2 linked regions of the Danio rerio genome follow. Each later gene encodes a partner of the first gene's protein in a complex. Links are inferred from orthologs where the notes say so. Each region holds a gene or a part of one and is shown in the gene's direction. Other genes may lie near its edges. The genes, in order: cdk5r1b and cdk5.

What was found.
Region 2: the proteins of cdk5r1b (region 1) and cdk5 are in contact, whole or in part, in a crystal structure (PDB 3O0G), measured with the Homo sapiens proteins. The link is inferred for Danio rerio from reciprocal best matches to the Homo sapiens genes CDK5R1 and CDK5. Residues at the interface, in NP_003876.1 of Homo sapiens: Trp190, Gln193, Thr197, Pro198, Ala199, Phe203, Tyr231, Leu232, Ser235, Tyr236, Met237, Gly238, Asn239, Glu240, Ile241, Ser242, Tyr243, Pro244, Leu245, Lys254, Glu255, Trp258, Asp259, Cys261, Leu262, Ile265, Asn266, Ser269, Ser270, Met272; in NP_004926.1 of Homo sapiens: Leu37, Asp38, Glu42, Gly43, Pro45, Ser46, Ser47, Leu49, Arg50, Ile52, Cys53, Leu54, Lys56, Glu57, Val69, His71, Leu76, Arg120, Asn121, Val122, Leu147, Arg149, Ala150, Phe151, Gly152, Ile153, Pro154, Arg156, Cys157, Tyr158.

Annotation. Positions count from the first base shown.
Region 1 is NC_133187.1:30,240,355-30,244,735, forward strand, and holds the start of cdk5r1b (cyclin-dependent kinase 5 activator 1b), read left to right. Parts: upstream 1-1,364; 5' UTR 1,365-1,614; intron 1,615-1,643; exon of another isoform or gene 1,644-1,875; intron 1,876-3,168; 5' UTR 3,169-3,344; coding exon 3,345-4,259; 3' UTR 4,260-4,381. UniProt on the Homo sapiens protein: p35 is a neuron specific activator of CDK5. The complex p35/CDK5 is required for neurite outgrowth and cortical lamination. Involved in dendritic spine morphogenesis by mediating the EFNA1-EPHA4 signaling. Activator of TPKII.
Region 2 is NC_133199.1:37,948,398-37,952,847, reverse strand, and holds the end of cdk5 (cyclin-dependent kinase 5), read left to right. Parts: intron 1-325; coding exon 326-406; intron 407-1,866; coding exon 1,867-1,953; 3' UTR 1,954-3,810; downstream 3,811-4,450. UniProt on the Homo sapiens protein: Proline-directed serine/threonine-protein kinase essential for neuronal cell cycle arrest and differentiation and may be involved in apoptotic cell death in neuronal diseases by triggering abortive cell cycle re-entry. Interacts with D1 and D3-type G1 cyclins.

The DNA of each region.
Region 1 (4,381 bases):
ATTAGTGTGTGTGGATGTTTCCCAGAGATGGGTTGTGGCTGGAAGGGCATCCGCTGCGTAAAAATGTACTGGATAAGTTGGCGATTCATTCCGCTGTGACGACCCCTGGTTAATAAAAGAATTAAGCCAAAAAGAAAATGAATGAATGATTTAATGAATCAGCGTGGAAGGTGAAGCAAGAAAAGCTGTTTATCTGGGTTTAATCTAGCGTATTAATACAAATCTGTCATAATTTATTCCCCCTCCACTTGTTTCAAACCTGTTTGTCTCTTCTATTGTGCACAAACGAAGACTTATTAAAGAATGCTGGAAAGCAGCAGTCATTGATTTCCATAGTTTTTGTTTTTCTCTCCTTTTTTAATGGATGTCACCGGCCAAAGTTTCCAACATTCTTCAGAATATGTTGTTTTAGGTCCAACAGGAGAATTGAGCACTTGAATGTAAGTGAACAGTAAGGACATTTCTTTTGTTGTTAACTATGCCTTTTAAAATATGCTAGTAAGATGCAATTACTGGACACTTTATTAGGTAAACCTTACCAATACCAGGTTGCATTTAGAACTGCCTTAATCCTTTCGTGGCATAGATTCAACAAGGTACTGGAAATATCCCTAAGAGATTTTGGTCCATATTGACATGATAACATCTCACAATTGCTGTAGATTTGGCAGCTGCATATGCATAATGTAAATCTCCTATTTTACCACATCCCAAATGTGCTTTATAGGATTGAGTTCTGGTGACTGTGGAGCCCATTAGAGTACTGTGAATTCATTATCATGTTAAAGAAACCAGTTTTATATGATTCATGCTTTATGACATGGCGTGCTATCCTGCTGGAAGAAGCCATAATCAGATGGGTACACTGTGGTCATAAAGAGATGGACATGGTCAGCAACAAATACTCAGGTAGGCTGTGGCATTGACATGATACTCAGATGGTACTAATAGGCCCACTAAGTGGTCTTCTGCTGTTGTAGCCCATCCGCCTCAAGGTTTGATGTGATGTGTGTTCAGAGATGCTCTTCTGCATACTTTGGTTGTAACAAGTAGTTTTTTTGAGTTGCTGTTGCCTGAAATTTTAATTTAAAACAAATCAGCTTTTTTTTTAGAGTGTATAAATAGCCTTTTTAAAGCATTAAAAAAACCCAACGTTTGAGAGTTTGCTTTGATTGAACTGTGGAGTACGGCAGTAAAAAATAAAACCTCCAGGTGAGTCCGCAGGGAGGCGCTCTTGCACATGTTTTCTTGCAGAAGTACGCAGTGCGCGCGGCTCTGACAGCACAGCATCAAACCTAAATCCCCTATCTGCTGGTGTGGACCAATAGCGCAGCTTCACTGCTCTCAGCATCACCAACCGAAGGAGACATCCAGCATCCCTAGACCACGGGAGAGACCTCCGACGAGACGTGGAATGCTTTTTTTTATTTGATTTGATTAAAAGCCTGCTGTTTTATTGGAATTTAGGCTTTCTGTCCGTCTTGATATTAAATCTTTTTCTTGTGTGGATGATTTTGCATCTCCTTGATGCGCAGTGATATCAAGGATAAACCCAGACAGCCATTACTGCGGCTCTTGTTTTGCTAAAGCATCGTGGAGGCGAGCAGATTTCCTGTAAGTCAGTTGCATTTCTGTTTTTATTCGGTTTACTGTTGGCCATATTTGAAAGGAAAAACAGGATTTTGGAAATCAACCGATAATAGTTTTGATCGACATTTGTTTTGTTATTTTCATTTCTATCTTTTCAAATTTCAAATGGTGTTGTTTTGCTTAGGAAAATCAATGTCAGTGTATCTTGCCCTCGTGTAAACATGTCAGGGAGGATTGCACATTTTCAGAACCTTGGACAGGGACAAATATAATACAGAGGCGAAAGTAAGAGTTTTCGTCTTTTGTGGTTTGTTAAATCCTCTACAAACACACACCGAATGTGAGTGAGGTATTAAATGTCCTATTAAACACATATTTACGAACGGCGATACAGTGGAATCAGTGTATTTACAGGAGAGCAGTAAACAGTGGAGTCTGCAATCATGGCGATGTCTTTATTTATGGTCGTTGGCTGGGTTGACTTTGCCGTCTGAAATACATTTTTGTTCTATGTAAAATGGATTTTAGTTATGATATTATGAGTGTAGTAGAAGTACGAACCAGATAAATGGTTTATTTTGTTATAGCTGTTTAGAAATCTATGATTTTGAGAGGATTTTAAGAGGTCAACAAGGATAAAAAAAAAAATAGGCTACATTTCTTTAATACCACGCGACACCTTTACGAGGCCTGTTTTCCACAAAGAGAAAACAGTGGGGCACTTGTAAAACGCATTTTGTTTTATTTAACATGAGAAGAATATTATCCAGTACTATTTAAATAATATCTGGGTATATATAAACTCAGAAAATTATTTGACACTTTAAAAAATACATTGTCTGCTCTCGTTAGGTAGCATTAATAATTGAAGATTATTTTAATGGAAACAACATTAAGTGGCCTAATTGCAAGACAGCAGTCAGCATGGTTAGAAAAACGCCATCTGTTAATATGATTTTCCATAATAATAATACTAATACTACTACTACTAATAATAATAATAATAAGGTACTATTAAACAAAAATGGCGTAACAATACAAAATCATTTGACAAAACAAAAACATGCAACAAAGTAATAAATCAGTATAATTAAAATTAAATTTGAAAAAAAAGTATAACTATGTACTTAATGTGCTAATTGTGTTTATGTTTTTTTTTTTTTTTTTGCCAAGTACAGTTGTTGCTATCGAGGTGGGATACTTTTAAATTTAGGGACAGGTTATATTTGGTATAATGGTAGTATAATGGTTAGTTAAGGTGCTGGAATGAAGTCAAAGTGTAATTAAATTTACATAGACTATGTAAACAAATGCTATTTTTAAAATTTACTATATCTCTACACAAGTAGTGGATGGTAGTGAGTACTGCAAATATTAGTACATGCTAATTAATAAAGACACTTAATACAAATTTGCTCTACATATTTTAATCAGAGTCTTTATTTCGGGCAATTATATTGCATACAAACAACATCCTGCAGTGCTAATTAACAATAATAATTAATACAGCCATGGCTGCATTAAATAGACTACATCAAAATAGATATCAAAATAATATATTCATTCTTTGTCTTACAGGCTTTGCAGTAACCAAGCCCTCATCCATCGCAACATCATTCTTCCTTAAATAGAACACCAACCTAAATTTGGATGTCTAACAGATTGAACTAGTCTCAGGAAGCAGTGGGCTCCGGTTTGGCGCCTTCTTTAGCTGACCCCTAACCTTGAGTTCCTGATATCCAACTCCCGGCATCATGGGAACCGTGCTATCACTTTCACCCAGCTACCGGAAGGCTGCCCTGTTCGAAGATGGCCCCGCCACAGTGGGCCACTACACGGCGGTTCAGAACAGCAAGAACGCCAAAGACAAGAACCTAAAACGGCACCCACTCATCAACGTACTGCCATGGAAGCGAATAGTAGCCGTTTCAGCCAAGAAAAAGGGGTCTAAGAAGGTGCAGCCAAACACCACCTACCAGAACAATGTTTCTCACCTTAACAATGAGAACCTCAAGAAGTCCCAGTCATGTGCAAATCTCGCCTCCTTTACGCAGGACCAGACAAGTCCGTCAAACCAAGGCTCCAAAAACTCCAACAACACAGCTTCCTCTGTCAAGAAAGCACCTCTTTCCAACTCCAACGCTGTCCCTGGGACACCCAAGAGGGTGATCGTTCAGGCCTCTACCAGCGAGCTTCTGCGTTGTCTTGGGGAGTTCCTCTGCCGGAGGTGCTATCGGCTCAAGCATCTGTCCCCTACAGACCCCGTATTGTGGCTCCGCAGCGTGGACCGTTCTTTGCTCCTGCAGGGCTGGCAGGACCAGGGATTCATCACCCCGGCCAATGTAGTTTTCGTCTACATGCTCTGCCGAGACGTGGTCTCCTCTGAGGTGGCCACAGAGCACGAGCTGCAGGCCGTCCTACTGACCTGCCTCTACCTGTCTTACTCATACATGGGCAATGAGATCTCGTACCCTCTCAAGCCATTCCTTGTGGAGACCTCCAAGGAGACATTCTGGGACCGCTGTCTGTCCATCATCAATTTGATGAGCGCCAAGATGCTGCAGATCAACTCGGATCCTCACTATTTCACCCAGGTCTTTGCGGACCTTAAAAACGAGAGCCAGAAGGAGGAGGAACGGAGTCGTCTGCTTATCGGCCTGGACCGGTGAGGGGGCGTTGGAGATGTCTTTGGTGACACTCTGATCTGGCATTTTTTAGGGAAAGTTCATGCAAAAATTTTGAATTTTGTTACATTTACTCACCGTCATGTCAATCCAAACTTGTAAGATCT
Region 2 (4,450 bases), on another chromosome or scaffold:
GTGATACCGGAGCACCCAGAGAAAACCCATGCCAACACGTGGAGAACATGCAAACTTCACACAGATATGCCAACTGACCCAGCTGTGACTCGAACCAGCAACCTTCTTGCTGTGAGGCGACAGTGCTAACCACTGAGTCACCGTGTCGCCCTTAAAACATCTATAATAATTGTAAAAAAATAAAGCTGACTACTTTACGGATTTCAGGTTATTTTAAGAACGTAGCTCCTGTGATTAACGAGGGACCACTGTACTCAGTAATTGGCTGCATATATTTTTAATTTATTTATATATTGTTTTAAATATTTATTTGATATTTCAATAGCCGTACCCGATGTATCCAGCTACTACATCACTTGTGAACGTCGTGCCGAAACTCAGCAGCACCGGCAGAGATTTACTACAGGTATATTATTTGCATTATCATAACAATCGCAGCTGAAATCAAAATGATTAGCTCTCCTGTGATTTAATTATTTTGCTTTTTAGGTATATATTTCCCAAGTGCTTTTTAACAGAGCAAGGACATTTTCACAGTAATTCCTATAATATTTTTTCTTCTGTAGAAAGCCTTTTTGCCCTGAAATAAAAGCAGTTTTAAATTTTTTAAAACCAATTTTAAGGTCAATATTATTACCCCCCTTAACATTTTGTTTATTTTAGTTGTCCACACAGAACAAACACCTGTTGTCCAATAACTTGCCCAATTACCATACATTGCAAAATTGTAATGTAATGTGTATTTATATAGTGCATTTATTGTGTATGGCCATACACACAATGTGCTTTACAATCATGAGGGGGGGTCTCCCCACACCACTACCAGTGTGCAGCATCCACTTTGATGATGTGACAGCAGCCACAGGACAACGGCGCCAGTGCGCTCACCACACACCAGCTATAGTTGTAGTGGAGAGACAGTGATCCAGCCAATTTCTTGGATGGGGATGATCAGTAAGGGCCGATGGAGGGACTTTGGTCAGGACACCGGGTATACACCACTACGCTTTACGAGAAGTGCCATGGGATTTTTAACAAGAGTCAGGACCTCAGTTTAACAACGGTGCATACTGACAGTATAATGTCCCCTTCACTATACTGGGGCATTGGGACTCAACACAGACTGCAGGTTGAGCTCCCGCTGCTGACCTCATTAACACCACTTCCAACTGCAACCTAGATTTCCCATGTGGTCTCTCATCCAGGTATTGACCAGGCTCAGCCCTGCTTGGCTTCAGTGCGTAACTGGTCTTGGGCTACAGGTAGATATGGCTGTGGCATTAACATTATTAACCTAATTAGGTCTTCAAATAGTGTCCTGCAAAATATAATGTACTGTCATCATGGCAAAGACAAATAAATAAGTTGGAAATTAGTTGTTCCTAAATTGGAGATGAGTCATTAAAACTATTATGTTTAGAAACGTTGGACCAGTGCTGGGGTCAAGTCGGAGAACTCACTCTTTTCCACCGGGCTCTGGACTGGTTGGGGAAATTTTAAATTAAACGGGAAAAAAAATCAATAACAATTGGCAACATTGCAACATACAGAACCTGGGTAGTTTAAAATAATATAAATAAATAAATAAATATATATATATATATATATATATATATATATATATATATATATATATATATATATATATATATATATATATATATATATATATATTTGATATATATTTGATATATATATATATCATTTTTATTTTTTTAATGTTGAAAAAAAACTATTTTAAAGCACTTGTGAAATATTTCAATAATAATTGCAGTTTTATATTAATTTTTGATTAACTGTATTTCATGATTGATGGTTTTGCTAAATGTTACTATTTTGTGACTTTTTGTTTTTATTTTTTTCTAGAATCTTCTGAAATGTAATCCAGTACAGCGAATCTCAGCAGAAGAAGCTCTACAGCACCCTTACTTTGCTGATTTCTGCCCACCATAAAAAAACAAAAACAAAAACTGCTCTCCAAATCATCATGTAGGAACACAGACGGGCCAGTTTTACCTCCTCAAACCCCCCTCAGCTTCTGCTTTCACCATAGGATAATAGAGGGACCACCAGACACTCCTCCATTAGTGATTATGGTTATGATTTGATCATACAGACATGATTATAATAGTGACTCTCTCTAATGCAGAGTGTGCTGCTGTTATTCGGCACAAATCTCCAAAAAGACCTTTATGTTGTTACTATGGTCTTAAAGGGATAGTTCATCAAAAATCAATTTGACATATTTCTTCATTAACAAAATGTGTGTTTTTAGCTGAAACACTGGTCATTGGGTGATTTATAAAATGCAAGTCAACAGCACTTTGGGAGTCAAAAAAAACACATACAGGCAAAATTAAAGGGATAGTTCACCCAAAACTGAAAATGCGTTATTCACTCTCTATTCAAAACCTTCATTCTGTTGAACATAAAAGAAGACATTTCGAAGAATGCTGGAAACCTGTAATCATTGACTTCCATAGCATTTGTTTTTCCTGCTATGGGTATCAATAGTACATCAGAAACGTGTTCAACATAATGAAGAAACACATAAAGGTTTGGAGTAAACAGTGAGAATTTGTTTTTGACTGAACTGTGCCTTTAATGATTGGAATAGTTGATTCCATGAGCATTATGAACTTCATTGTGTTTTATAAGACCTCAATTTATTGTCCAGAGCTGAATATATATGTATTTTGATTAGCCTGTATGTTATTTATTTATGTATTTATTTTTGACTCCATATCTTACTTGCAGTTTTATGAATCAACAAGGATCACAGTTTAAACCATAAGTCTTTTAATGTGTCACTGAATTAAAAGAAAGCGACCGTCTTTGATGACCCGAGGGTATTAAATCAACAGCAAAGTTTCATTTTTAATGGAATTATCGGAAAAAGTTCATCCAGACAAACAAAATTAGAGAATCGCATAACGTCAGACCATCTAAAGGGACAGTTCACCCAAAAATGAAAAATTCCTCGTAATTCCTCAAGTGCTTCTAAAGTTTTTTGAGTTTCTTCTGTTGAACAAAAATGCTGATGTTTTGAAGAATGTTGGAAAAAGCATCTCTAGTAGCAACGAAAAATACTCAATGGCTGTTTTTCACGTTCTTCAGTACATTTTCATTTATGTTCAATAAGAAAGCAACTCAAACAGGCTTTAAACAAGTGAAAGATTAAATGATCATTTTATTTTTTGCGTGAACTATCCATATAAACATTGATCATAGTCACATATATAGGTGAACTGTTATGTAAATTAAAAATGTTGATAATTTCTTCTAGCCTGCAAACCTTCAATCCTGGCCCTACATGATTCATTTAGTTGCCAAATGTTCTTCATTGGTCTCTGAAGGTTTACAAAACGCTGCGGTGGGGACTACAAAAAGCAGCAATTTCTTTATCTTATTATTATTTTTTTTTGTCTACGATCAAATGAGCATTATAATTGAATGAGGTACAGCGCACATCATTGATTTAGCACACGTTACGATATACAGTATATAAAGAAAAACCACCATAGAATTTTGTGTTGTACACAGTAATGGTAAAAAAAGTCTAGGTTGTGCGATTTTTCTATGAGCGAGATTTTAGCATTCATTTTAAACAACACTGTTATCGTTTTCCTATTCTTCATTTAAAGAAACGCTGCACCTTATTTTTTTTAAGTTAAACAGTTGAATTTGACTATATTTTTAAAAATGTATTCAGTTGATCTTTGTGTTTGGTGGGAACACTTTTAGCTAAGCTTAACATAAGTCATTGAATCAGATTAGACCATTAGCATCTCCCTCAAAAAAAAAAAAAAAAGTTGAGTTTTGATTATTTTCTTATTTAAAGAGTGACTCCATTTTAACCAATTTTTAAATATTCATTCATCAGATCTTCAGGTCCGGTGGGAGCACCGTTAGCTTAGCTTAGCATAAATCATTGAATCGGATTAGACCATTAACATCACGCTCAAAAATAATAAAGTTGAGTCTTAATAATTCTCCATTTTACAGCTTGACTCTTCTTTAGTTACATTGTGTACTAAGACTGCTGAAAATAGAATGTTCTATTTTCTGAGTCATAATCAAGGAACCTTTTTTAGGCACTGCGTAAGATCACTGCGCTTGTTTTAGCCATGATACAGCAACAAAGTTCCTTGCTTATTACGCCAGAATGACAGTAAAGTTCCAAGACAGCTGTTCATTTACTGCCAGTCTGACTACGCAATGTAACTACAGAAAAGTCAAGCTTCAAATTGGTAAAATATTTAAACTTTTTGTTTTATTGAGATGCTAATGGTCTAATCCGATTTAATGATCTATGCTAAGCTAAGCTAAAAGTGCTCGTAGACTCTGAGATACACTGAATGAATTGAAAATGGTGAAATTCAACTGTATAACTGTAGGGAGGTAATAAAATGAGCCTTTCCTTAAAAATTCGAAAATGGAGTGTTTTAAT